Oryzias latipes: one gene and its partners. The protein of the gene in region 1 binds, or shares a complex with, the protein of each later gene. Links are inferred from orthologs where the notes say so. Each region holds a gene or a part of one and is shown in the gene's direction. Other genes may lie near its edges.

Evidence for each region.
Region 2: the proteins of gtf2f1 (region 1) and ctdp1 are in contact, whole or in part, in an NMR structure (PDB 1ONV), measured with the Homo sapiens proteins. The link is inferred for Oryzias latipes from reciprocal best matches to the Homo sapiens genes GTF2F1 and CTDP1. Residues at the interface, in NP_002087.2 of Homo sapiens: Thr470, Lys471, Leu474, Gln478, Ser486, Thr489, Val490, Leu493, Ala494, Leu497, Lys498, Leu500, Asn501, Pro502, Arg504, Met511, Phe513; in NP_004706.3 of Homo sapiens: Ala946, Asp947, Met949, Ala950, Lys951, Ala952, Leu953, Glu954, Glu956, Leu957, Asp959, Leu960, Met961.
Region 3: gtf2f1 (region 1) and polr2j share a complex: the UniProt entries of both Homo sapiens proteins name them as parts of the TBP-based Pol II pre-initiation complex. The link is inferred for Oryzias latipes from reciprocal best matches to the Homo sapiens genes GTF2F1 and POLR2J.
Region 4: gtf2f1 (region 1) and gtf2a1 share a complex: the UniProt entries of both Homo sapiens proteins name them as parts of the TBP-based Pol II pre-initiation complex. The link is inferred for Oryzias latipes from reciprocal best matches to the Homo sapiens genes GTF2F1 and GTF2A1.

The regions. Positions count from the first base shown.
Region 1 is NC_019866.2:14,105,388-14,112,032, forward strand, and holds the start of gtf2f1 (general transcription factor IIF subunit 1), read left to right. Parts: upstream 1-2,293; 5' UTR 2,294-2,560; intron 2,561-2,786; 5' UTR 2,787-2,831; coding exon 2,832-2,843; intron 2,844-3,144; coding exon 3,145-3,191; intron 3,192-3,370; coding exon 3,371-3,443; intron 3,444-3,783; coding exon 3,784-3,977; intron 3,978-4,293; coding exon 4,294-4,464; intron 4,465-4,535; coding exon 4,536-4,741; intron 4,742-4,853; coding exon 4,854-5,004; intron 5,005-5,167; coding exon 5,168-5,223; intron 5,224-5,322; coding exon 5,323-5,454; intron 5,455-5,535; coding exon 5,536-5,609; intron 5,610-5,974; coding exon 5,975-6,116; intron 6,117-6,230; coding exon 6,231-6,369; intron 6,370-6,643; coding exon 6,644-6,645. UniProt on the Homo sapiens protein: TFIIF is a general transcription initiation factor that binds to RNA polymerase II and helps to recruit it to the initiation complex in collaboration with TFIIB. It promotes transcription elongation.
Region 2 is NC_019869.2:25,071,029-25,076,999, forward strand, and holds part of ctdp1 (RNA polymerase II subunit A C-terminal domain phosphatase), read left to right. Parts: intron 1-267; coding exon 268-361; intron 362-570; coding exon 571-699; intron 700-1,639; coding exon 1,640-1,790; intron 1,791-2,361; coding exon 2,362-2,452; intron 2,453-3,201; coding exon 3,202-3,368; intron 3,369-5,971. UniProt on the Homo sapiens protein: Processively dephosphorylates 'Ser-2' and 'Ser-5' of the heptad repeats YSPTSPS in the C-terminal domain of the largest RNA polymerase II subunit. This promotes the activity of RNA polymerase II.
Region 3 is NC_019863.2:18,094,718-18,100,344, reverse strand, and holds polr2j (DNA-directed RNA polymerase II subunit RPB11-a), read left to right. Parts: upstream 1-2,877; 5' UTR 2,878-2,917; coding exon 2,918-3,132; intron 3,133-3,443; coding exon 3,444-3,552; intron 3,553-3,935; coding exon 3,936-4,037; 3' UTR 4,038-4,113; downstream 4,114-5,627. Other genes in the region: ube2c (ubiquitin-conjugating enzyme E2 C), read right to left, coding at 1-24; dnttip1 (deoxynucleotidyltransferase terminal-interacting protein 1), read right to left, coding at 4,421-4,529, 5,296-5,351. UniProt on the Homo sapiens protein: Core component of RNA polymerase II (Pol II), a DNA-dependent RNA polymerase which synthesizes mRNA precursors and many functional non-coding RNAs using the four ribonucleoside triphosphates as substrates.
Region 4 is NC_019882.2:4,166,517-4,172,108, reverse strand, and holds the end of gtf2a1 (transcription initiation factor IIA subunit 1), read left to right. Parts: intron 1-6; coding exon 7-175; intron 176-266; coding exon 267-331; intron 332-752; coding exon 753-828; intron 829-904; coding exon 905-1,026; intron 1,027-1,120; coding exon 1,121-1,225; intron 1,226-1,325; coding exon 1,326-1,607; intron 1,608-2,598; coding exon 2,599-2,688; intron 2,689-3,203; coding exon 3,204-3,311; 3' UTR 3,312-3,897; downstream 3,898-5,592. UniProt on the Homo sapiens protein: TFIIA is a component of the transcription machinery of RNA polymerase II and plays an important role in transcriptional activation. TFIIA in a complex with TBP mediates transcriptional activity.

The DNA.
Region 1 (6,645 bases):
TATATATATATATATATATATATATATATATATATATATATATATATATATATATATATATATATATATATATATATTTATTTTTAAGACATTGCACAACATATTCAATTTGTACCTTTTCTAACTTATTAGTTCATGATGGGACAGGCAAATCCTTTTATCACAGACAGGGCCGGCCCTGGTCTTCCGGGGGCCCTAAGCGAGATTTAATTTGTGGGCCCTCTAACTGATCAGCAGCACCAACAAAACGCAACTGTTGTTGTAATATAAATGAGATATATCTAGTGCAGAATGTTGGAAAGAAGTGCCTTCACTGTTGTGCGTGTGTGCACAAATGTATAACTGTCTTTTAAGTAATAATGAAACAATAAGTTTGATTTGGGTTCCATATTGGGTAGATTTGAACTGACCAGCAGCAGCATCAACGTTTTCCCTTTCAACAGAAGATGTGGTGACAGGAGTTTCCTCTGCAGCTAAAAAACAAGAATCATTATACAATAATTAATGATGAAGTTAATAAAATAACTATAGCAGAATACTACTAATAGTTTAGTGGTTCGGTTAAAATCTGTGTGCAGGTTTTTCACAATGTCATGATCTTTTTATATATTTATGAAAAATAGATTGTTTGATTATATATTTGCACAAGATCATATTTATTTATTTATTAAGAACAGTTTAGGGCTCCATACTCTTCAGCCGCTGTTTATGGAAAAAAAGGGGTTATGCAGACACTGTTTTTTAAATTACTTTACATGCCACATGAGGGGATGTGGATGCTGCACCTCCTCCAATACTTTTTGATACTTTTTGAGAGCAGAAGAAAATGTTGGCTGACACGGAACTGTGCAAAACATCCTCATTATGTAGAACCAAAACTGCGAAATACAAATGAGAAAGAAATGTACCTATTTATAAATAATAAATGTGAATAATAATTTGAGTATAAATGGAAATATAAGCATTTATACACTTCTTATTCTATTATTTTGTATGTTCATAATTTTAAAATGAGTACATTTATTTTATTTGTCATTAATAAATTAGAACCTTTATTTCCTACTTGTATTTGGCAGTTTTGATTCTCCATATTCCATGCCAATGCAAGATTTTAAGACACATTGTTGAAAAAGTCAGACTACCAGACTGTCTATAACAGATAAACAGCAGTTTCTATACTGACGTAAACCGGAAAATGCAGAACGCACTAAATATGTGTTAGCAAAACAATTAAACAATACAATAACGTGAGTTAAACATTTATCAGCCATCACCGTTGTCGTTATTTAATCTTCTCTTCGCCGTTTTGGAAGGTCCTGTCTGACCTCATCCAGGAAACTTGGGTATCAGAATTATTTTAGAGTTTTCCATTGGAAATTACAACAAACGGGGTCGTTTATGTGCAAACTTCACCTGTCTTTCTAACTTTACCGAACTTCGGATCAATTAGTATTTTAAATCGCGAATGCACAGAAATACTGGATAATGTAAAAAATATGGCCCCATCATCCTCCAAACTTACCTTGTGATTGATGCTGAAGTTGTTCATCTTTTTTCAGCTCCTGATGGATAAAGTCTCTTTGGCATGAAGTGCTCTTGTTGTCGCTTTGATCAGCGTGACAAAATGAGCTATTTTTTTTTCTTTTCTCAACTTTATTGAAACAAAATGCGCTCGTAAATGCACACTGTGCCAGGCTCAGATGCAGTGATGTTGGCCAATCGTTGCTGAGAGTGGCGTAACGTCATTATTTGGGTTGCCAGATTGGTTCAGGTTTGTTGACAAGGGGGATCATTAAAGTGCAGCCAACTTTCTTTTGCACAACATTCACAGCTATGAAATAGGTTGCCAGATTTGGGTCTTTTTTTTATTTTATTTTTTCGCCACTTCGGGGCCCTGGTGATGTGGGGGCCCTACGCGGCTGCGTAATTCGCGTATAGGGAGGGCCGGCCATGATCACAGATTAATTGTCAAATTGTAAAAATTGTGAATGGCATTTACACTTTCCTTTCCTTACATTCAGGTGCACTCAAGCATAATCGGCTCTTAACACTGTGTTCACAGCCTAATCATTATTTTTTAAAGGAAACAATTAATTTAATTACTTTTTTAAATAATGTTTTACTTTTTTAATAAAGTTTTTATAAATTTTAAACTACATTTCAGGGAAACAAATTTAATTTATATGTTTTTCTTTGTTGGTAAGTCTGTTTTTACTTATTAGTTTGATTTTTTTTTCTTTCATTCCAGTTACTGTCTGCATTTTCAATAGGAACTATTTGTGACGTGCCAAGGTTTCCTGTCGACCGTAAAAAGTGACGGAACGATTACGCTGCAACAACGCGCACCTCACCGGTACACCAGTAGTAGTGTTTTACTCTCGGAGATGCGGGGCTTTTTCTTTTAAAAAAAACAACAACACTATTTTTGTATTTCATTTTCCTTTTATGCATCTTCACTCGGTCTGAAGTTGGACTAAAACGACCATATGAGCTCGTTTATCGTGCTGGAGATCTAATGATCTAATCAGAGCTAACCATTGAAATCTCTACGACCGGGTTGGTGAGACTCAGCATTCATTGTTATTTTCTTTCACAATAAAACCAGTTTTCGGTGATTGTTTGCTTTCGAACATTTGTTTTTTTCTAACCCGTCTATAAAACTAGTTTTGTAATAAACGTAATCATATTTTTACACATTATGAAAATGGCCGACATGATCATGTTGCACTAAACATTAGTGAAATACCTGCTAAAATGTCCTTTCTTTTTCTGTAAACCCTTAATAGCTCCAGTGAAGTGTTGGCAAATCCAGAAGTTGTTGATAAACAATCATGACATCTCTGGTAAGTTCTGACTTTTTTTTAATGATTATTTTTATTATTATTAACATGTAAAATGTTTTCGTTTCATTTAAGCTATTTTAGCCCGGCAGCTTCCGGTTACAGCAGGAAAGAAAACTTTATTAATCTGCGCTACAGAAGACAATGTTACACGAATTTATCAGTGGAGACTAATTGTAAAGCCTGAGTTGCATGCAGGCAAAAACTCATTCAATCAGAAGGTCGCTGATCTTATAGCAAAACCTTTTTTTAATAGAAATTCCACATTATTTGTTTGTTTGTTTGTTTGTTTACCATCTTCCAGGGGGGCAGCAGTGCTTCGACTACAGAATACACAGTGAGAGTCCCCAAGTGAGTAAATGAAAGCAGTAATGTGTTAGTAATGTTGACCATAACACAGAAATGACACCGTTATCCTTTGAAATAGTAATGTTTTGCATCATTCTGCCCTAAATTTGTCAACGTGTTACTTGACTCCGCCTTGCAAAAACAACTCTTTTTATTTTTTTATTTATTTTCTTGCCCCATAGAAATACAAGCAAGAAGTACAACATCATGGCTTTTAATTCTGGAGACAAAGTCAACTGTTCGGCCTGGACACAGGTGGGCTTCATGTCTTCTTTTTTGCTCCAGTAAAGTAAATCTATATTTTAAATTTGGTTATAATTAAAAACAATAAGATCTCTTAAAACATCCTTAGGAATTCAGAAATTTGTGACAAAATACAAGGGAGTACGGATTAATAAAGCAACTGCGTTTTATGACATATGTGGTACTAATGATGTTTTTTTAAATGTATTTTTTGTATTGAAATGTGGTGCCTCTTGGCCAGGTCTCCCTTGGAAACGAGATTTCTAATCTCGATGGGACTTCCCTTGTTTGATAAAAGTTCTAAAAAAAAAAAAGGTATTAAGTTAAATATCCTGCTTTGTCACTCCCCCAGGCTCGCATGGAACGCGACCTGAGTGCTCGGCGAATATATGGCGAGGAGGAGTTACCAGAGGGAGGGGCAGGGAGCGAGTTTGGCAAAAAGCAGCGCGAGGAAGCGCGGCGGAAGAAGTATGGCATTGTGACCAGAGAGTTCAAGGTGGAGGATCAGCCGTGGATTTTAAAGGTCAACGGAAAAGCAGGAAAAAGGTAAAGCGATAAATGTTTCTATTTTTGAAACTTAAGTACATTTTTTTTTTTTAATTTACCTGCAGGCTTTCTTGAAGTTATGACTTTTTTTTCTTCAAATAAAGAAAATCAATAAACCATATTTATTTAACCGTTGTAGAAAATGAGCAAATACGTCTTCGTACTGAGTAAGATTTGGTGTAATCCTCACCAATTTTTAACAAAATCTGTTGGTGTGTTTTTTATTTTTCCTAAAATGTTTATTGCAGCAAGATTCTCCTATGATTCCAGTTCTACAATCTTCAGTCTGGCTATAATATTTGTCTTTCTGCATCAGGTTCAAAGGTATAAAGAAGGGCGGCGTGACAGAAAATGCATCCTACTACATCTTTACGCAGTGTCCTGATGGAGCCTTCGAGGCTTTCCCCGTTCACGGCTGGTACAACTTCACGCCGGTGGCGAAGCACCGAACTCTGACTGCAGAGGAAGCTGAGGAGGAGTGGGGCAGGTTAGCAGAGCAGCAAGCTGGACTTGGAGAATGCCTTTTGTGTTTTAAAAGTCATTTCCTTCTTTGTCCAGGCGGAACAAGGTGGTGAATCACTTCAGCATCATGCTTCAGAGACGCCTCCGGGAACAGGAGCGGGGCGAGGAGGATGACGATGACGCCGACAAACCCGGAAAGAAGAAAAAGAAAGGGGGCGGGAAGGGTGGAGATTTGCGAATTCATGATCTGGATGAAGACCTGGAGATGAGCAGCGACGACAGCGACAACAGCATGGGAGATGGTAAGGATCCATGCAGCAGGCTCCAGAACTGTCAGGGCGCTCAGCCCCTTCCTCCAAACGTCTGTCAGCTCATTTTCCTCACCTGCAGCTTCCGTCTCTTCTTCGTTTGCAGATGGAGAAAACAAAGCAAAGGCAAAGAAAGACAAAGCCAAAGGGAAAGCAAAGAAAAAGAAACAAAAGAGCAATGAGAAGGATGCCCTGGAAGACAGCGATGATGGAGACTATGAGGGTCTAGAGGTGGATTATATGTCAGATGAAAGCAGGTGGGCTCCTCAGCGTATTTACCACATATACATATTAAAGAAAGAACATGTTTTTATTTGGTCTTTTTAGAAGAACAAGTCTGCATTTTTGATTTTCTACGTTCTTTGAATTCAAACTAAAGCTAAATGCGTGACACTTTTAGATCATTTGTTTCCTTTTTAGTTCAGAGGAGGAGCTAACAAAGGAGAAGCCAAACAAACAGGAGGAGCACCCTAAAGGTTTTTGTTTTTACACTAGGAACATTTAGCTGTTTTTTTTTTAAAAAGGACATTTTATAGAGAAATGAACGGCTACCCTGTTGGTTTCTGCTCAAATAGGCATAGATGAGGCATCTGAGAGCGAGGAGGAGAGCGAGGAGGAGAACCAGAATGAAGAAGAAGCAAAGGAGGAAGAAGAGGAGGAGGAAGGAAAGAAGACTCCGGTTCAGGTGGAAAAGAAAAAGAAAAAAGGTATCAGTTATACAAGTTTTTTTTTTTTAAATGATTAGAGGTATCTGAGGGGAAAAAGTCATGTAGGCTCATTTGTCGCAGACAGCAGCGGGGAGTCAGAGACTTCGGACGACAGCGACATTGAGGGAGAGACGGCCTCTGCTCTGTTCATGGCGGTTAGTTTTGTTTTTAGTGTTATTCCTCTTTAAGTATCATGTTTCTTTTCAAAAGGCATCAATTTTTCCAGAAGCAGATTTTACGTTTTTTTGTTCTTGAAGTCTCAATTTCCATGTATTTTGACATGAAACTTGTGACTTTTTATTTTTGAGTCCACATTTGGATTTGCTCAGCTGCAAAGAACCATTGGTCACTTTGGTAAAAGATCAAATCCTTTTGATAAAATGGCAATAAGAAAAAATCTATTTTATGTGCAGTTTTGACCTATAAAAGAAACATTTATTGAACAAAAATAAAGCAAACTGAGGGGGAATCGGATGTTCAGCATGTAAACTTAAAAGCGTCACCCCTCCTCTCTTCTCAGAAGAAGCGCACGCCCCCCAAACGTGCGGCAGGCCGCGGCTCTGCAGGCAGCTCCAGGACCAGCAGCCGTCCAGGGACGCCCTCCATCGACTCCGGCTCCACCTCCAGCACGCTCCGGGCAGCCGCCAGCAAACTAGAGCAAGGCAGGTTTTTGCACTCGGACACGTCTAGGAACGTGACCTCGAACAGGACGACCCGTGTCAGCACAGGTGGGGACTCCTGTTTTGCTGTTGTGATCAAACCTCTGCTTTTTACAGGAAAGAGACCGCCACAGGGTCCTAGTGCCGACTCGCCGGCGGCCAAAAGGCTTAAAATGGAGCCCAGCTCTCAGAGCCCAGGACCCTCAGGGAAGAGTACACCTCAACCTTCATCAGGCAAATCCACCCCTAGTTCAAGGTACTTTTATCCTGCACACCGCCACACGTGCATTCTGAATTTTAACAAATGATTGAGTTGAATTAAAAGAGCATTTTTGTAAAGAAACATGAAATACATTTGTTAGAAATGTGTCTATAGGATACCTTCATCCGGATTGAGTTTTTGTTATTCGTCTGTAGTCATTTAACTACTCCAGTTGCAGGAAGAGTGGAATTATGGGAATAAAAAAACCAATATTGATACTACTAACGTATCAGTATAAGTTTGAGTCATATTGGATTTCCCTCTCCAGTG
Region 2 (5,971 bases), on another chromosome or scaffold:
CTTGTGTTTTTTCCATAGCTGTTAAAACCACATCAGTGACAGTGAAGTTCAATAAAAATGCACTCGTTAGCTCCTTAAATGTACACATCTGTGAGTAAATGTGGATTTGTTGACGCTGACTTCCTGTTTTCTCCGTCAGCATCCATCCGTGCTGGGGTGTAAGTGTTGGGATTGTGTGTTTGGTGGTGGATCTGAAACAAATAGCAGACCTCCTCTGACAGTTTGCTGGAGGACCTGAGCGTGGTCTCTCTCTCTCTCTCGTCTCAGGCTTCAGGGGACAAACGGAAACCAGCACACCCCCATCTCCACGGCAACCGTCTCCATGGTGCACAGTGTCCCTGAACTGATGGTCAGCTCTGAGGTGAGTCACGATGGCAGCTGTCTGTGCGTCCACACTTCAAGCTGAGTTCATATCCAAGACGAAGCTCTCAGTCTGAGGTTAAAGAAGTGTTCCTGCAGTGGACCACACGCTGGTTCTTCTACAAATGAATGTTTGAAAACGGTGGAGAAAATGTACCCATAAGCCTGTCATACTCGGCTTCACCGGCGGGGTTCTCCTTTGTTTGGCAGCAAGCCGAGCAGCTGGGCAGAGAGGACCAGCAGAGGCTGCACCGGAACAGGAAGCTGGTCCTCATGGTGGATCTGGACCAGACGCTCATCCACACCACAGAGCAGCACTGCCAGCAGATGTCCAACAAGGTACAGCTCAAGGCGAAGCCCAGGAGGCAAACCTGGCTTTAGGTCCTGGAACAAAGTGGGTTCTAAAAAGCTCGGTACTGTCAGAATTAATGGCTTTGTTCTGGAGGAGAAGGGTTTCTCTGATTTCTGCCTGCAAAGTCACCGGTCAGATTCTAATGTGGGGTTTCTGAGGGAATCAGTCTGCCAGAGCTACACCACTTCATGCTGCTGGTTGGGGGTTCAAACGCTCTTGGGCAGGAACCCACATTGCCTCGATCTGTAAGTCGCTTTGGATAGAACCCAAACATGTTTAAAAGGTGAAGAATAATCCAAGAAATGCATCCCTGTTTCCCAGCAGGCCTTGCAGGGGAAGGGCCTGTTCCCATCAGGGAAGGGCCTGTTCCCATCAGGGAAGGGCCTGTTCCCATCAGGGCCCTGTTGGTGTTTCTACCTTCACCTGCTGCAGGAGTCTGTTATGTCACAAATCACATCTTTTGCAGACATGACATGTTATGTCATGTCTGTTCAGGGGAATAAACATAAATCTGTCACATTTGAGGAGAAGGTTGATGCTTTCAGAGGACGAGAGCTTCATCACTGAGGGCCTTTCCTGGTCTTCCTCAGATGTAAACAAACGTCAGACTAAAAACCTGACGGCTTCTTTTCTTTGCTTTCTGGATTAAAATCCCACTTTTTAGTTCAAACATCACATCTGTCGTTGTGTGAATGGACTCGTTTTTGGTTCAGTCTAAAAGTTTTCTCTGTAAACTGACTTTAAGAAAATGTGTTTCCCAGATATCAGATTTGGTTTTTGAGTTAATTCAGATCATCTTCAGTTACTGGATCTAGAAAAACTGTCCTTAATGTTGTCATTCTTGTTTTTGTTTTGTCTTTTTAGAACCTGAATGTTGAGTTGAGGAGAAAGTTCACTTTGATACGTCTCTGTGTGTGTTTGCTTCAGGGCATTTTCCACTTCCAGCTGGGCCGGGGCGAGCCCATGCTGCACACCCGCCTGCGCCCCCACTGCAAGGAATTCCTGGAGAAAACGGCCAAACTCTACGAGCTGCACGTCTTCACGTTCGGGAGCCGCCTCTATGCACACACTATTGCTGGTAAACGCAGGTTTTGCGGAGCTGTGCCCTCATGAATGCACCTGAGTGACGGACGGAGTGTGCAGCCCCCGTAACCAGCGTTGCTGTACTTCCCGCACGCGTCCACTAGAGGGAGCTGTTCGCTCCTCTCTCAATCTGTGGTGCTGAAGTTCCAAACAAATGATTGAATGAAGTTTTTAAAGCTGCACTTTCTTCCTCATAAACCTTTCACTGCTTTATTGAAGGCTGTGAGTTTCTCTGGAATCTTCTTGGTATTCATGCTGCACTCTTTTATTTGACTATTCATAATGACAGCAGCTTTGTTCTGGCACCGCTCTGCCGCCTCATGATGAATGTTTCATGCATTTGGATTGGATTTTTGCCTTCACTGATGCAGAGCGTCCGTACATTTCAGAATCAGAGCAGCTTTTATTGACCGATTTCTCCCCAAAGCATGACGACTTTCCAAAAACCTCATGGCACAGAGGGAAAGCCAGAGAAGAACCAGATAAACGCCACAGCCCAGGGTTTTCTGTAGAACACATCTCAAGGTAAAGCTTTAAAAACACTTCTCTGTTCTTCTTTTTTTTAGGTTTTCTGGATCCCGAAAAGAAGCTTTTCTCCCACAGAATCCTTTCTAGAGATGAATGCATCGATCCGTTCTCCAAGACGGGAAACCTAAGGTGAGGAACATCCGCTCTGCTGTTCAGTTTCCTGTGTTGCAGCAGAACCAAAGGGATTTTCAGAGACGGTTTGGCGCAACTGATCACGTGACCGACATACTTCCTTAAGCCCTGGTCATTACTGCCCTTACTGGTAGATGCAGGCTGTCTGTGACACACGGGCATGCTGTTGGCCCGTACCAAGTATAAAGGGGTAAACCGCTCGGTGAACCTGCAGAGCAATAATCTTCACGCTTTTTTTTTCTACAATCATGCCGTTAATTTATGAAATGTCAGGATTTCTCTTAAGGTGGCTTCACAAGCCTCAAGATCGATTCGGGATCACAGAGAAATAATGAAACGGAGCAATTTGCATGTATAATGTAAACGGAGCCGCTGTAAAACAGCCTCTGTGTCGGAAGACGTATGTGTGGACAAATCCAGAACCCTTTCAGACCCGATGAAGATGACTAAGAATCACCTTTCAGCCTGGAAGGAAAAAGCTGGAAGAACACTATCCGAGCCGTAAAGCACGGTGGTGGTAGAACCAGGATGGGGTTTCATTAGAACGGTTAAGGTCTGCTCAGAACTGTCTGCATTCAGTGAGACCTGCAATGTTTACCCCTCTCTGGGAGGGTGTGTTTGGTTCTAAGGGGTTCCATCATATAATCCCAGGCATTTGTTTAGCGTTTCCTCCCAGTCGTAGTGAAGGTGGAAGGTGTTTGTGTTTGAAGTTGCTGCCTGTTTCTGAGGGAAGGGTGTGTTTGCAGGTACCTTTTCCCCTGTGGGGACTCCATGGTCTGCATCATCGATGACCGCGAAGACGTTTGGAAGTTTGCTCCGAACCTCATCACCGTGAAAAAGTACGTCTACTTCCAGGGAGCCGGAGACATCAACGCCCCCCCGGGATCTCGGGAAGCGCTGGCGGCCAGTAAAGGTACCCGAACATCCCGTCAACACAGCCGGGATGAAGACGAACTCGACCCGTCCAAGTCGCCAAAAAACTCACCTTGTCCCGCAAATCAGCGATTTGGCTGAAGTCGGCACAGGTGTTGACCCGCCTGCAGTAAGGGCTCATTCTGGGGGGGGGGGACCGGTTTGTCTCCGAAAGTCGGGCTTTGTACTTGAACCCGTAGGAGCTTGCAGTCTGCGTGCTCTCTGCTCTAGAGGCGGACCGTCCTCAAGCCTCACCTCTGGTGTTGGGTTTTTAAGGTGTGGATGTCCTGCAGGCTGCTTCTTCATTGGGGGGGGGCGGCTGTCTTCTATTGGCTCTGTGTTTGAGGGGGACCTGGTCGCTCACAAGAGGGGTGGCAGAACATCATTAGCCGGAAAAAGAAATGCTACAAGACTTCAGAATTGTGGCATCTCAGTGTGCAGCATGAGCTTAAAACGGGGCAAAAGGGGTCATTCTTTTATTTCTTTTTAAAAAGGATCTAAGCAAAAGTGTTCAGAATTGTAAAAGTGTTACACCGGAGCTTTAGCTTTAACCAGTGTTTACATTACTTCACTGTAACTTTTCAACTCGATTAAAGTGAATCAGAGTATTCCGTTGCAGAGAAAGGCGACTTTGCGGCAGTATGAAACACTTTATATGCAGATCGTGGGAAAAGCTGGTTTGAATTGTTCTTTACTGGCAGAAAGACTCTTTTCTCTGCAGATCAGCTGATTCAAGTTAATCGCAGAAGAGATTGACAAAGACGTCTCCCGTGTTAAAGTTTTAACTCTAAAAGCTGGAAAAAAAACGTAACTCTTAGGGTCACCAATTAAATTTGTGGTTTTGGACCCAAAAAAAACCCCAAATATTCTCAGACTGAAATGGGAAGGGGGTGGGGGGGGAGACGTAGAGCTTCAGTTTTGGCTAATGATGTATTGCCGCCATGTTGTCTTCAACCAGTTCCTCTTGCAGTGTTTCCCCCTCCCTTTCTACATGACGTAACATCCTTTTATGTTTTAGTAAACACGTGTTCACCAGAGCAAATAAACCTCAGGCACAGAAGAGGTTTATGCAAATAAACTCCTGTGAGACCAAAGTTCACAAAAGTCCTGCTAGAGCAATAACATCTGTCCAACTCAAAAGTCTCTTGAGTTCAAAGTAAAAACTGGTTTGAAAGACCCACTCTGATGAAAATGGTGTTTTTTTAAAGCATTTTTCTGATGATGGAGGACAAATATGAAGAAAATTTAGCTTAAAATTGCATTTCTGGCTTTTCTTTATTCAAATATATGTGAATCAGGAGCAGAAAAAAATGCAGTTTGAAAAAGATGTGATTTGTGACGAAGAAAATACGTCAAAATCTCCCTGCTCTGCTCTATTCTGATCATCCACCTGCAGACAAAAAGATCCATGAATCTCTTTGATTTCCTGGTCTGAGCTGGAATCTGGATCAGAACTGAACGGATGGATAGATCTGATGTAGCTAAACATTTCTGTTGAACTGCTAATGTCAGGTTGGGGGTGTGAGGGGCTGTAAGGTAGTGGGATAGAGTGGAAACAAAGGGATGATGGGAATGGAAGCGGGCTTACTCCATGCCAACAGTCCCGTCCACAACTCAAAGGTGAATTTCTGATGACCTCCGGTCGCTCTGCAGAAACTGTGTCCTAGAGAACAACACAGGATTTTGGATTTTCATCATTAGAAGAGCACTGGGAACACTTTTACAACAGACCCCAAAGAAAAGTGAGACTTTAAGGAGAAGCAGAAACAAGTTGAGCATAAATCCTGAAAACAGTCCAAATGTTGGTGTTTACCAGTGGAATAAATGTGGAATTTTGTGTTTGTACAAAGTTGGAGAAGTCAAAGTTGTTTTTTTTCAGGACTTTGCTGCGCTCCTTCTCCAGCCCCCGCCTCCTCAGATGATTTCCTCTCCAGCGCCTTCAGAGAACAAAGCACACAAGCAAACTTCCTTCCCTTCACATGCCTATTTCTGACAGCCTGGCAGTTTGATTTCACGCTCCAGCAGAGTCGCCTCTCTGGAGCGCCTGTTATCCCGCTGGAATATCCTCCTCCTGAAGTGTTTGCTAAAAGGCGCCAGGGCAGCAGCGAGGGGTTTTTTCTCTGTCCCAGTTGTTGGCGGGGTCATTATGACCCAGCAGGTTAGGCAGCGCAGCCGTTCATGCACCCATAATATTCGCGTTCGTGAGGCTCCGCCTTTCTCTCTGAAATGGCTTCATCAGCAAATCGTTCCTGCTGAATCTCTCTTTCAGGAATGAGGTTTATTCTCCCACCGATTCCCACCTACCAGCAGGTTTGGGGGTGGGGGGGCATGTTGGTGCTGCAGTTTTTTATTTTACAAGATCTCTGCGGCTGTCAGCTGGAGCTGCTAGAAGCTACAGAGAAGATCATCTGTTAGGGAGGGGGGCTTCACTGTGAGCAGGTCTCCGTCAGACCTGCAGGAGAATCATCCGTAGGTGGGTGATCATGAACATTTGGGACGGATGTTTTGTAGAAACGGAGCCGTGCTCAGCTTGAGGTCCTGAGGAGAACATGACAGTCCAGTATCACGTTGGACCAGAGTTTGTTCTCAGCTTTCTGCTGGAGT
Region 3 (5,627 bases), on another chromosome or scaffold:
AGGGTCCATGTTCTGGGAGGCCATGTGTGCCAATGATGGGCTCTCCTGGACACATGTACCAACAGGTCAGTCCACTTCACACACAATGACACAAACAGGATGAGGAACCTTCTGGTCTGATGGTGATACCATCATCATGAGAGCTCTGATGGAGACTGATCATCGAACCAAAACAACTATTATGGATGAATATGGCTATTTTTAGAAGAGGCAATAGGAGCTTCTTCAAAAGGAGCTCAGGCTGAAGAGGAGGTTCTTCAGATGCTGACATAAGGTCCATAGTGTCTCTGAGGAAGAACGTGAAGCTTCAGCATAAACGGATTGCGCTTCTGCTTTGGCTGTTGGCGCAGAGGTGGTCATTTAACGCAGCTGCGAACACGGAGGCCTCTCAGCCGCGCGGACAGCTCGTTTCTGTGGCTTTCCTAGTGTTTCTGTCGCCGTGACACCGATCCCTGCAGCCCGTGTACACCGACTACACTCGTGAAAACTATTACCCGGAAATAATAAACATTCCACATACATCTAGAAGTTCTGTTTACCTGCGAGGCTTACTGTAGATCCAATTTGAGTAGATCCGAACAGCTTTGATATCGCTCACTATCTGTTAATGGAAGCCTAACCCGCCCCGAGTTTTTAAATTGCATCAGCCAATCGGTGTCCGCCTTTCAAAAGCAAACAGAAAAATGCCAACCAATCACGAGTGAGTATGCTTTAGGAGGCGTGTTGTAATTGGTTCGAAATATACCGGAAATTAACACCCTGAGTACGACGTTTAGTGTTTACGTCAAGAGAAGAGAGAATTTCAAACGAAACGAAAATGAGTTTTGAAATGGGAATTTAAACAAACAAACAAAAACAAAACACGTTTTGATTTGAAATGTCTAATCTTGTGCAACAATCCAAATTTATATATTTTCAATGATTTTGTGTCTTTATTCAGGAAGAACTAGAAATGTTGCCCAATTTCCTTAGTTATACATTTTCCATGAAACTAATTAGTTCCTTTTAATACTAAGTCATATGACTGAAGGAATTTTGCATTAGTCGGTTATTTCCTTTCAAAAACCAGTTAAAATCAGATATTGTTATATGAAAAATATTAAATTTCCTTCCCTTAGGCCTAATTCAGAACTTATGTCCGCTGACAGAATCCAATTTTGTTCTCAGATCTGTACACTGCTGTGAGCCAATTTGAGATTCACATTTAAAACTAGAATGCTTTAGCACTCTCGTCCAATAAATTATTTGCTTTTTACTCAGTAAAAACCTCATGAACATATGATAAAGATGTGAACATTTTCTAATATTACTAAAACATAAATTCACTCGTGTAACTCCATTAGTCGGACTAGGATAAGCCTCGTTCCTCCTCCTCAGCATGTCTGCAGCTCTATTCTCCATCTTCATCTGTAGCCACCACGTGCAGCTGATGGCAGAACCGTCCATGATGAGCACAATTGTATCTAAGGAGAAATTCACCATAAGTAAAAAAAAGAAAGCGTAGTGATCAAAACATAATTAAGATCACCAGAACAGAAGGTGCCAAACTGGGAAAATAAGTTCATTACTGATACATGAACTGAACATGACATTTGAAAGATGCTTCAGTAACAGCTTCATTTAGGCGACAGCTTTTCTCTGAGAAGCAGCTGTTTCTGCGCACAAAATATATGATTGTTCATCTGCAAATCATTTCCTTGTATTGTAGAGAGAAATATGGCCAACGACCAATCAGTTACCTGTTAACATGGACTACATTATGCTATTTTAGAGCCATATCCCTCAGGCTTTGATCCATTTATCCATTTATCTCCTGTACTAACTGAATCCTTTTCGTGGTCACAGGGCTGCTGGAGCCAATCCAGCAACAATTGGGCAAAGGTGGGGTACACCCTGAACAGGTCCCCATTCTGTTGTAGAGCCATACACTCGCATGCACACCTAAGGGACAATTTAAAATACTGGTAATCAATTGACCTACAAAGCATGTTTTTAGACTGTGGGAGGAAGCCAGAGTGCCTGGAGAAAACCCATGCATTTATAAAGAGAACAAACCCCACCTAAATTGACCCCAGGCAGGATTTGAACCAGGGCCATCTTGCTGTACGGCCACTGCTCTACAATGCAGCTCCCTTAGGCTTTCAACTAAAATACAATTTTTTTAAAATTTCACATCACATACTTTAAAGCTGCAGTTAAAGTTTACACCAAAAGTAACAGCCAGGATCCTGGCTCTGAAATTACAGATAAAGAAAGGTTTAGAGACTTTCTTTAAGCCACACAACACAGGCGGATGGACACTGATTAAAGGTTCAGACCACATAAAGTACATAAACATACCATAAACACAACTTAAAACATAAAACTTGTTTAATTTGGATTTTTTTGTTTCTTTTCTGTGTAGCATAAGAAGGGAGTCCATCCATCAGTGGCTGTGCTTTTAATTTGTTGAACAACTAGTGCAGCTTGCATCTCTTGTACTTTAACATTCTCATCTGTTTTTGCACCGGATGTCTGACTGTTTTACATCTACTTTAATTTTAAACTTTTCATTTTAATCCAATCCTATTGTTTTATTTTGTATCGTTATCATGTTTTATGACATGTGCTGCTGACCTCTTGACCAGGTCACATTGCAAAAAGGGATGTTGATCTCAATAGGCTTTTAACCTAGTTATATAAATGTTAATGAAAATAAATAATAAAATTAATAAAAAGTACATTGTTGATTTTCATCATGTTGATCTCGTATTTGTCTTTACTAGTAATTATATCCTTTTACTCAGAACAGCTACTTGTTCCCAACCCAAACTTTTTTTAGGAGACAATGGAGGCATGGCTTTGACTGCTGCTGTAAAAGAAACAAAGAACCAATTTCATATACCTACCAGGAGAGGGCGCTCCACTCGGAATCTGGATGTGTGTTCCGAGCGGAAGTTCTATATCAAGACTTCCGGTGTGTTCCCAGCGCACTGAGTCGCGCGGAAAGATGAACGCGCCTCCTGCTTTCGAGTCATTCCTTCTATTTGAAGGAGAGAAAAAAATCAGCATCAGTAAGGACACGAAAGTGCCGAACGCATGTCTGTTCACGCTCAATAAGGAGGACCACACGCTGGGAAACATCATCCGAGCGTAAGAACCGCGCATGCACAAACAGACAGACTGTCACAGAGCTAACAGTCTCTGGATGGATAGATTATAGAAGAAGAAGCCAGTTTCTGACTGGTTCTGTTAGCCCCGCTTATCATTCCTTGACGTTTTGGTTAGCTAATAAGGAGTGTTATTGTGTGACCTTTGTGTTTAATTTCCAAGACTTACATGTATAAACGAGAGTGACGCGCATGAATTTCATGCTCAATTTTCATGATGAAAACACAGTCCGTCTATGATCTATCTATGCAGCAGGGTTGTCACATATTTTTTCTCCTGTGTGTCACTGTCAGTCAGCTGCTGAAGGATCCTCAGGTTTTGTTTGCTGGTTATAAGGTTCCCCATCCCCTGGAACATAAAATCGTCATCCGAGTGCAGACCACCCCTGACTACAGTCCACAGGTAAGGCAAAGACCCAGCGTGTAAACACAAACGGTCTTATGCAGCTTTTTTCTTTGACACACTTCTTGTTTCGATTCAGTGCAAATCAGTTATGATTCAATTTTTTTGTTGATTTATTTTTACAGGCTGTATTAGATTATGAGAGCTTTTAGTGATTTAAACATTTGACAAAATTGGAGTTGTCATTCCAAAAAAATATTCTTAGAACTGCAGCAAACACCTTTTCAAAAATGACAGGAATATTGAGGTTATAAATTCCTACCTATAGAATTGTTTTCAGAGTCAAATGTTTTTGAAGTTTGTCATTTTTCATGTGTGCTTGTTTGTCATTGCTGACAGGGACTGAGGTGGTATTTCATTAAAGGAAATTGTCTTTTCAACAGGAAGCCTTCACAAACGCCATCACTGACTTGATTAGTGAGCTGTCGCTGCTGGAGGAACGCTTCAGGGTCGCCATCAAAGACAAACAAGAAGGCATTGAGTGATTTAAGCCCATCACAAAATTTCCTGTTTATCTTCATTTCTGTTGTTTTTTCTAAATAAATGTGATGCCACTCCCTGTTTTGTGAGAGACTTGATATTGAGCATCAGCTGAGATGACTCTCACAAGGAAACGGTTTGATCTTTTGGGGTCAGAATTCTTGTGTGAAAGTAGCTGCAACACAAAGCTGCATCTGATCCAGCTGATCAGTATGATGACAGGAACCTCCAAGGATCACTTTCATTCAGAAACCAAGGATTTGCTTCTCTCCGCTCAAACATTGTCAAATGAAAAAGACAAGATGGCAAAGCAACACTTTTATTGAGATTTTATAAAAACAGCATAGAATTGGGGGGGAGAGGGGTGAGGGGCATGATCGTTGTGAGGTCAGGGGTCAACATTTTTCTGCACCTCCATGGCTTGCTGCATCTTCTCCACCATCCAAATTGGAACGGTGAACGGCTTCAGCTCGTCCATTCTCACTTCAGGAGACTCTCTGCACACACACACACACATCTGTACCCATGGCAATCACAGCAACAACGGAAAAGCTAGAGCCGCCAATGACAGCCATTCTACATTTCAGTGTTAAAGGGTCTAGTATTGTGATCAAAACTTAAATGCGTTTCAGGGTGAAGTCACTCAAACTACACAATCTGCTGAAGCAACAGTAAAAACCGAAAATGTCTGCAGGTTCTGATCCATGAAGCTGAGGGTGTTCCTTCAGAGCGTTTTTGTTTTATTAAACATTTGAGATTTTAAAATATCTTTACTATCCAATGATGTGAGCTTGCTAAAGAAGAGCATTCTTCAGTTTTCATGCATTTTACATCGTGGTTTTAGAAAAAGGCTTCATAAATTGTGTTGCATGCTTTCATATCTGCTCTCGGGTTTAAAATATTTTCACTCTAATATTGTGAGAAAATGTATACTGAAAAGAAACTATTCTAAACATGATGAATGGAGATTACAAAGAAACTCTTTTTGCTCTATCCTTCCACTCATTTTTTCCCCCAAACATCTCAGTTTACAGTCTTAGCTGCTCAACCTGTAATTATAAACAATCAAACTTAAACTGCAAAGACTTGTGGGATAAGATGACCTCAACCTGAAGAATGATAACGCAGCGGTTCCTACTACAAAAGAGGAAGTAAAGCAAGGGAGTTTCTTTTCTCTACAGTGTAATTTTCTTCATTATGGTCCAAGCTGTCAGGCAGAATCCCTACAAACCTAAAGTTCAGGTGCTGTGATGTCACACTCACCTGTACTCATCACTGCAAGACAGCTCTTGGATGTCCTCTTCAACCAACAGGTAGGCCTAAGTGCACACAAACATCATCCCATCAGTCAACTCGCTGCAGTTGTTCAGGATTCCTGTCATGAATGGTCAGAGTGTAGCCTTCTCAAAACGACAATTGCAGTACAGAAAAATGTGGGATATAAATAATCTGGGATTTAAACCTCAACTGGTTAGCAGAAAGGCTACTCAACCCATCTCCCTTATGGCATAAGCAGCCATTGATAATGAACATTGACACAGTGAAATGTTTTAATCCCTTCTCTACAAGAAAACGTATTTAAAAGCATAACTTGC
Region 4 (5,592 bases), on another chromosome or scaffold:
TTTCAGCTGTGGGAGAACAAGCTGCTGCAGTCAAAGGCGGTGGAGGGCTTCCACACCGAGGAGCAGGCGGCCCTGCAGACCGCTCAGCAGCAGCACCCGCACTCCCAACAGGCCCAGCAGGTGGCCCAGGCCGCGCCGGCCCAGCAGGTTATCCAGATTCCCTCGCAGCAACAAGGCGAGTCCGCACGTTGACATACAAACGTCGCCTGGACGTGTGTTGTTTTTTTTTTTTTTCAACCTGAAATAATGTGTTTTATTCTCAACAGCTCCCCAGCAGCAGGTCATAGTTCAGGACTCTAAAATGATACAGCACATGAATTCAACGGGAATGGTGAGTAGCATCTTACAAGCTGAAAACTGCACCGCCACACTTGAGAACCAAAAATTCTCCCAAACGTCCCGTTTTGTCATCGCACAAATCCACCCGGGGAATATCTGGGATAGTATCAAGGAAGCGACGGTTAGGAAAACTAGCCGGGCTGTGGGTTTTGGGAGAGGACTTTTTTTCTCAACAAGGACCTGGAGAACAAAACCGAGAAAGGGAAAAGCTTTCTTGTGGGGAGGCCATCTGTCTTTTTGAGCTTGAAACCTAGCCGCCGCTATAGCTTTTCCTTAAGTGATGGACCATGTTTGAAACCTTTAAGGCTTAAATGAAAAGAAAAAAGAAGATTTTTTCTTTTTTTATCACCTAGAAAATCCACCTTTTTGTGCTCTGGTATAATTGGAGCGGCTTTCTGTGTTTCCTCCTGCAGACCGCAGCAGCCACTGCAGCAACCCTTGCTTTGCCCACAGGGGTCACCCCCTACCAACAGCTCATCACAAGCCAAGGTAAAGCTCTCACCGTTCCTTTGGACTTTAGCGTGGTTGGATCTCAAAACGTTTTTTTGTTTTCCTGTTGATGCAGGTCAGCTCCTGCAGGTGGTCCGGGCTCCCAACGGGACTCAGTACATCATCCAGCCTCAGCAGCAGATCGTCCTGCAGAATCAGATGCAGCCTGGCGGCGTGCAGGCCCCCATTATACAGCAGGTACAGTCCATGTGTGAGGTCATCCTTTTGAGCATGAAACCAGTCTGGGAATTGATTTCTGAAAACTTGGAGTCCTTTTCTTGCAAACGTGCAGGTTTTAGCTCCTCTGCAGGGTGGACTGCCCCAGCAAGCAGGAGTCATCATTCAGCCGCAGCAGATCGTTTTGGCTCCAGGGAATAAAGTTCAAGGGACCACACAGGTCAGAGCACCAATTAATGTTTTCCCAATTATTATTTTTTTTGTGGGATGTTGCTCTAGGTTTACGTAATGACTCTGCTCTCATCTCTGGCTGCCGCCAGGTGATGCAAGCAGCAGCGATGGCGCCGCAGCCCGGCCAGGCAGCAGCAGCTCAGGTCCAGCAGGGGGCAGCTGTGGCCGCTGCTCAGGCCCCAGCCCAGCCGGCAGCCCCGCAGCAGCAGCCTCAGGCCCAACCGCAGGCGCAGCAGCCCGCCATGATGGTGCAGCTGGATGGAACTGGAGACTCGTCCTCTGATGAAGACGAGGACGAAGAGGAGGAATACGACGAAGATGACGAAGAGGAGAAAGATAAAACCGGTGGGGAAGACGGGCAAGTTGAAGAGGTGAGTGTTGAGCCAGTCCAGGGTTTATGGTGTTTTTAACATGTTGTTGTGGCATTTATAACGGAAATTAAGCTTCTAATTGTATTTCTGAGCATTTCACAGATGATTCCTGTCATAATTTGTGATCCCCAAGACGATTAAAAGTCTATTTATTCAGTTTGAACGATCCAGTTCGCTGATCTAAAACAGATCCATCTTTAGCCAAAACTTCCACTAGTGTGACTTACCTGAGTACTGAACAATACCTGAGTACTGAACGGCACCTGGGTACTGATATTTGAGTGTAAATTAAATGTGTACAAACATGTAAACAACAGTTGATTTCAAATCAGATTACATTTTAGTTTCTTAAAGTTTGGACCACTAATGTTTTTCCACATCCAGGTAATCCAAAGGGAACATTCTAGCACACTGGATGGTCACATGACTTTGCTAAATTGAGTGTTTCCACTCATTGGACCGGAATGATGGAACCGATCGTTTTTTGCTGACATCATGTCTATGTGATGGTCGTTTTTTACATTGTAGTGAAATAAACCTGCCAAGTCTCAATCCAAATGGTATTTTCTAAGATTGAGTATTCATTTCATTTTGAAACATTTTTTTATGGTGTAGGGCGTTTCAATGAACAACTTGCCTCGAAGAGATAAACCTGGATGGATCTTAAGATAAACCTATTAAATTGATCGTTTTAATCGACCAACAACTGCGGTTTAAAAAGATCGTATTTGTGACGTAGATAATACCTCGAGCTTCCTGCTCCAAGTCCTCTGCTGTGGGATGAGGTCGCTCCACGTCACTGATCCCGCCCACAACTCGGAGGCAAATTTCTAATGAACTTTTGCCGCCCTGCAAATTTTTTTTTTTTTTTTGGGGGGGGGGGGTTAAAAGCTGCGTAATAATTTTTAAAAGACCACTGGGAACGCTTTGAAAATCGATCAAAAGATGATTGGAGTGGATCTTTGAAGTCTTTGGGTTTTTTGGTCACCAGGAGCCTCTGAACAGTGGAGATGATGTCAGTGATGATGAAAACCAGGAGCTGTTCGACACGGAGAATGTCGTGGTGTGCCAGTATGACAAGGTAGGAGATGAGCGTCAAGCTACGTTCACGTTTAGCCATCGGTGTTCACACTGGACTGTCGCTACCGGTGCACGCACTCACCGTTGGAAGAGGCTTGGTCTGAAATGTTGAAGCAGTGCAAATCTTTGCCCCAGGCCTTTTTCCTTCAGTCTGATGTATGAAAGACTTGATGTGACGTCATTCTAGCCGAGCACAAGCCACAGTTATTGATTACTCCCTCATAATCAATTAATCAAAGGGTTGGCACTTCCATGTTTTGAAAAGGACGCCATCCATACGTCCCTACTAAAGCAGAGTCAATTGGTTGAACGTTCAGCGTGCGTTCAATTGTTTCCTTGACTTAAAAACGTGTAGCGACCCGTGAATGTGACAGTTTTGACCGCGGAAGCCCAAAAGGGTTACTTAGACTTTTTCAATGGAAGTGATCGGCGGTGTAGCATCAGGGTAAGCTCCAGCAGCATCCCTCTGTTCTGAACTCTCCCATTCTTCTCCTCCTCCTCTTCCTCGCTCCTCAGATCCACAGAAGTAAGAACAAATGGAAGTTCCACCTGAAAGACGGGATAATGAACCTGAACGGCAGAGATTATGTCTTTTCCAAATCCATCGGAGACGCCGAGTGGTGAGGCGGGGGAGACGGGCGAAGCACGAACTCCTAACTTGTTTTTATCCAGCAAACTGATACTTCAGCGTCCTTTCACATCCTGCGTCCGAACTCCTTCAGGAAGGTAAAGCGAGAGTCTTTGAGAACTCATCCAACCCAAAGGATTGCTGTAAGACATGACACGTGGAAAAACACTCGACCAGCGTTTACGGGATGAGAAACCGACAGGACACTGGAGAGCCTGTGAACAGAGCTTTTTTGGTTTATTTTTCCCTTTAAGGCTTCTGCCTTCTTCTGACAAAATTCCCCCAAAACAGTCATTTCATGTCGTACAGGTGTTGCGGACCAGAAGGAACTCTGCGGTCTCTCATAACCCGATAGACACACATTTTTAATGCACTGTAATCGGTCGACTGGATTCATGGAAGTCCAAACTTAGTGCCACCAGTCAGAACCGCTGCCTTTTAGAATGACTCAGCTTTTTTTTTTGGTTGTAGTTTTGTTTCCATGTGAAAAATGAAAAATGGTGCTCCAAATTGTTTTATGTAGTCCAATCTTTTTAAAAAATTATCTTTTAGCGTCAGATCCGAGGCTCCTGGGAAAAACAAGGTACAAAAACAATCTTCAAAAATCAATTTTAATCCACAGATGTTTAACCCCGTTTTGCTGGAGCTTCATTCCATCTTTTTTTTTTTTTTTCAAAAAGCCCCAAAGTTCATTTTGGGATTGCATAGAAGATGTGAGGCTGCCACGCCGGTGTATCTCCGCTCTTCCTTTAGTCAGCTGCAGCCGTGGGAGGACTTGCACTGTGGGTTTATCGACGTCCGTGAGCTCAGTCAGTCCAGGAAATCCATAGCAGCATCAGCAGCAGCGAGGTCTCTTCTGTTCATTTGTGTGTGAGACGCGGATCGACGGTGCAGGCGTGCGATAGCTGCAACATACGTCTTTCTTTTGCACACCTTGCAGTCTCAAAATGCCAGTCACACTAGAGAAGGGGAGGGGTGCGCATCATCTATTTATTGTTAAAAGTTCACGGGACGTTCTTGGAAAGATCTGAAAGCCGCACCAAACTGTGCTCTTATTATCCAGTAAGTGTTCCTTTTTAGTTTTCTTCTTCAGCTGGACAAGCGCTACATAAATGTTTTTCTGTCTTATTTTACGCTAAACTTTTTTTTTTTGTATCAAAGGTGAGTTTAACTGGAGGGGGGGGGGGGGGGGGGGGCTGTGTGTTTGTTTCTGCAGTTTGACTCGGTTCCCCCTTTCCAGCAATCTGAAATAAAGCCTGTTTTTTTTGACTGTCCTGTCCGTTGGGTTGTACATTTCTAAAAAAGAAAACACAAATTAAAAATAAATAAAAAAGTAGCCACATCTGCACCATGACTATAAAATAACAACATGCACACGGATCAATAGGGCTTTTCTTTTCACCTCTGAATCAGCCTGTGAAATCTTTGGTTCTGCACATTTTCTGTATATTCCCATTTCTCTGGATGTCGTCTGTGCCTTTTTTTAAACTTGAGTTCTGTTTGGGTTTTCTTGTGTCTTACCCACAACTAATGGAAGGATGTCCATGGAAACTGTATTCTTTATGTTTTAACTGCTGTTGAGATATTTAAAGAAATGTAATTTCATTTAATTTTTCCTAAATTAAAAAATGTTTGCAACAAAATAAAGGCTCCTGCTTTGAATTTCCAGCTAAAAAGGGAGTTTTAATGGGCTGGAAGTACTTTATTGGAGCTCAGAATTTGAATAATTCCTGCTAATTTGGTTTCTTTGCCTTTAGCCAGTTCAGATGTTTGTCTGTTATTTATTTTTTTTAACTAAAATGCATGCTTTGTTTTCCAGGTATCCATTTTTTTACTCTGCTATGCTCCCCCAGTCTGTCTTTTCATTGCTTAAAGTTATTTAATGATCTCCTTTACCTCTTAAAAACCCATTCTGATGAAAATCACGGTAACATGTTCTTGTGGCATTTTTCTGACAATGCAAGACGTATATTGAGAAAATTAAGCTCATAATTTGAGTATTTCTGATTCCCAGATGGAGAAGTGGATGAAAAAATGCAGTTTAAAAAAGAAAAGTGTATTTGTGACGTAGAAAATACATGGGGCGGGGCCCAAACTCTGCACTCTGCTTCATTCTTGTGGGCATCCATGTACATCTTGGTTTTCCTCGTCTGAATGGCAGTAAAGTTAAGCTACAGCATTCTTGAAAGTGTCTTTAGCCCAAGGTGTTCACACTGGACAAGCAGGGAGGGGCTATCTTTTCCTACTGCTTACTGGCACGTTGGAAGAGGTTTGACT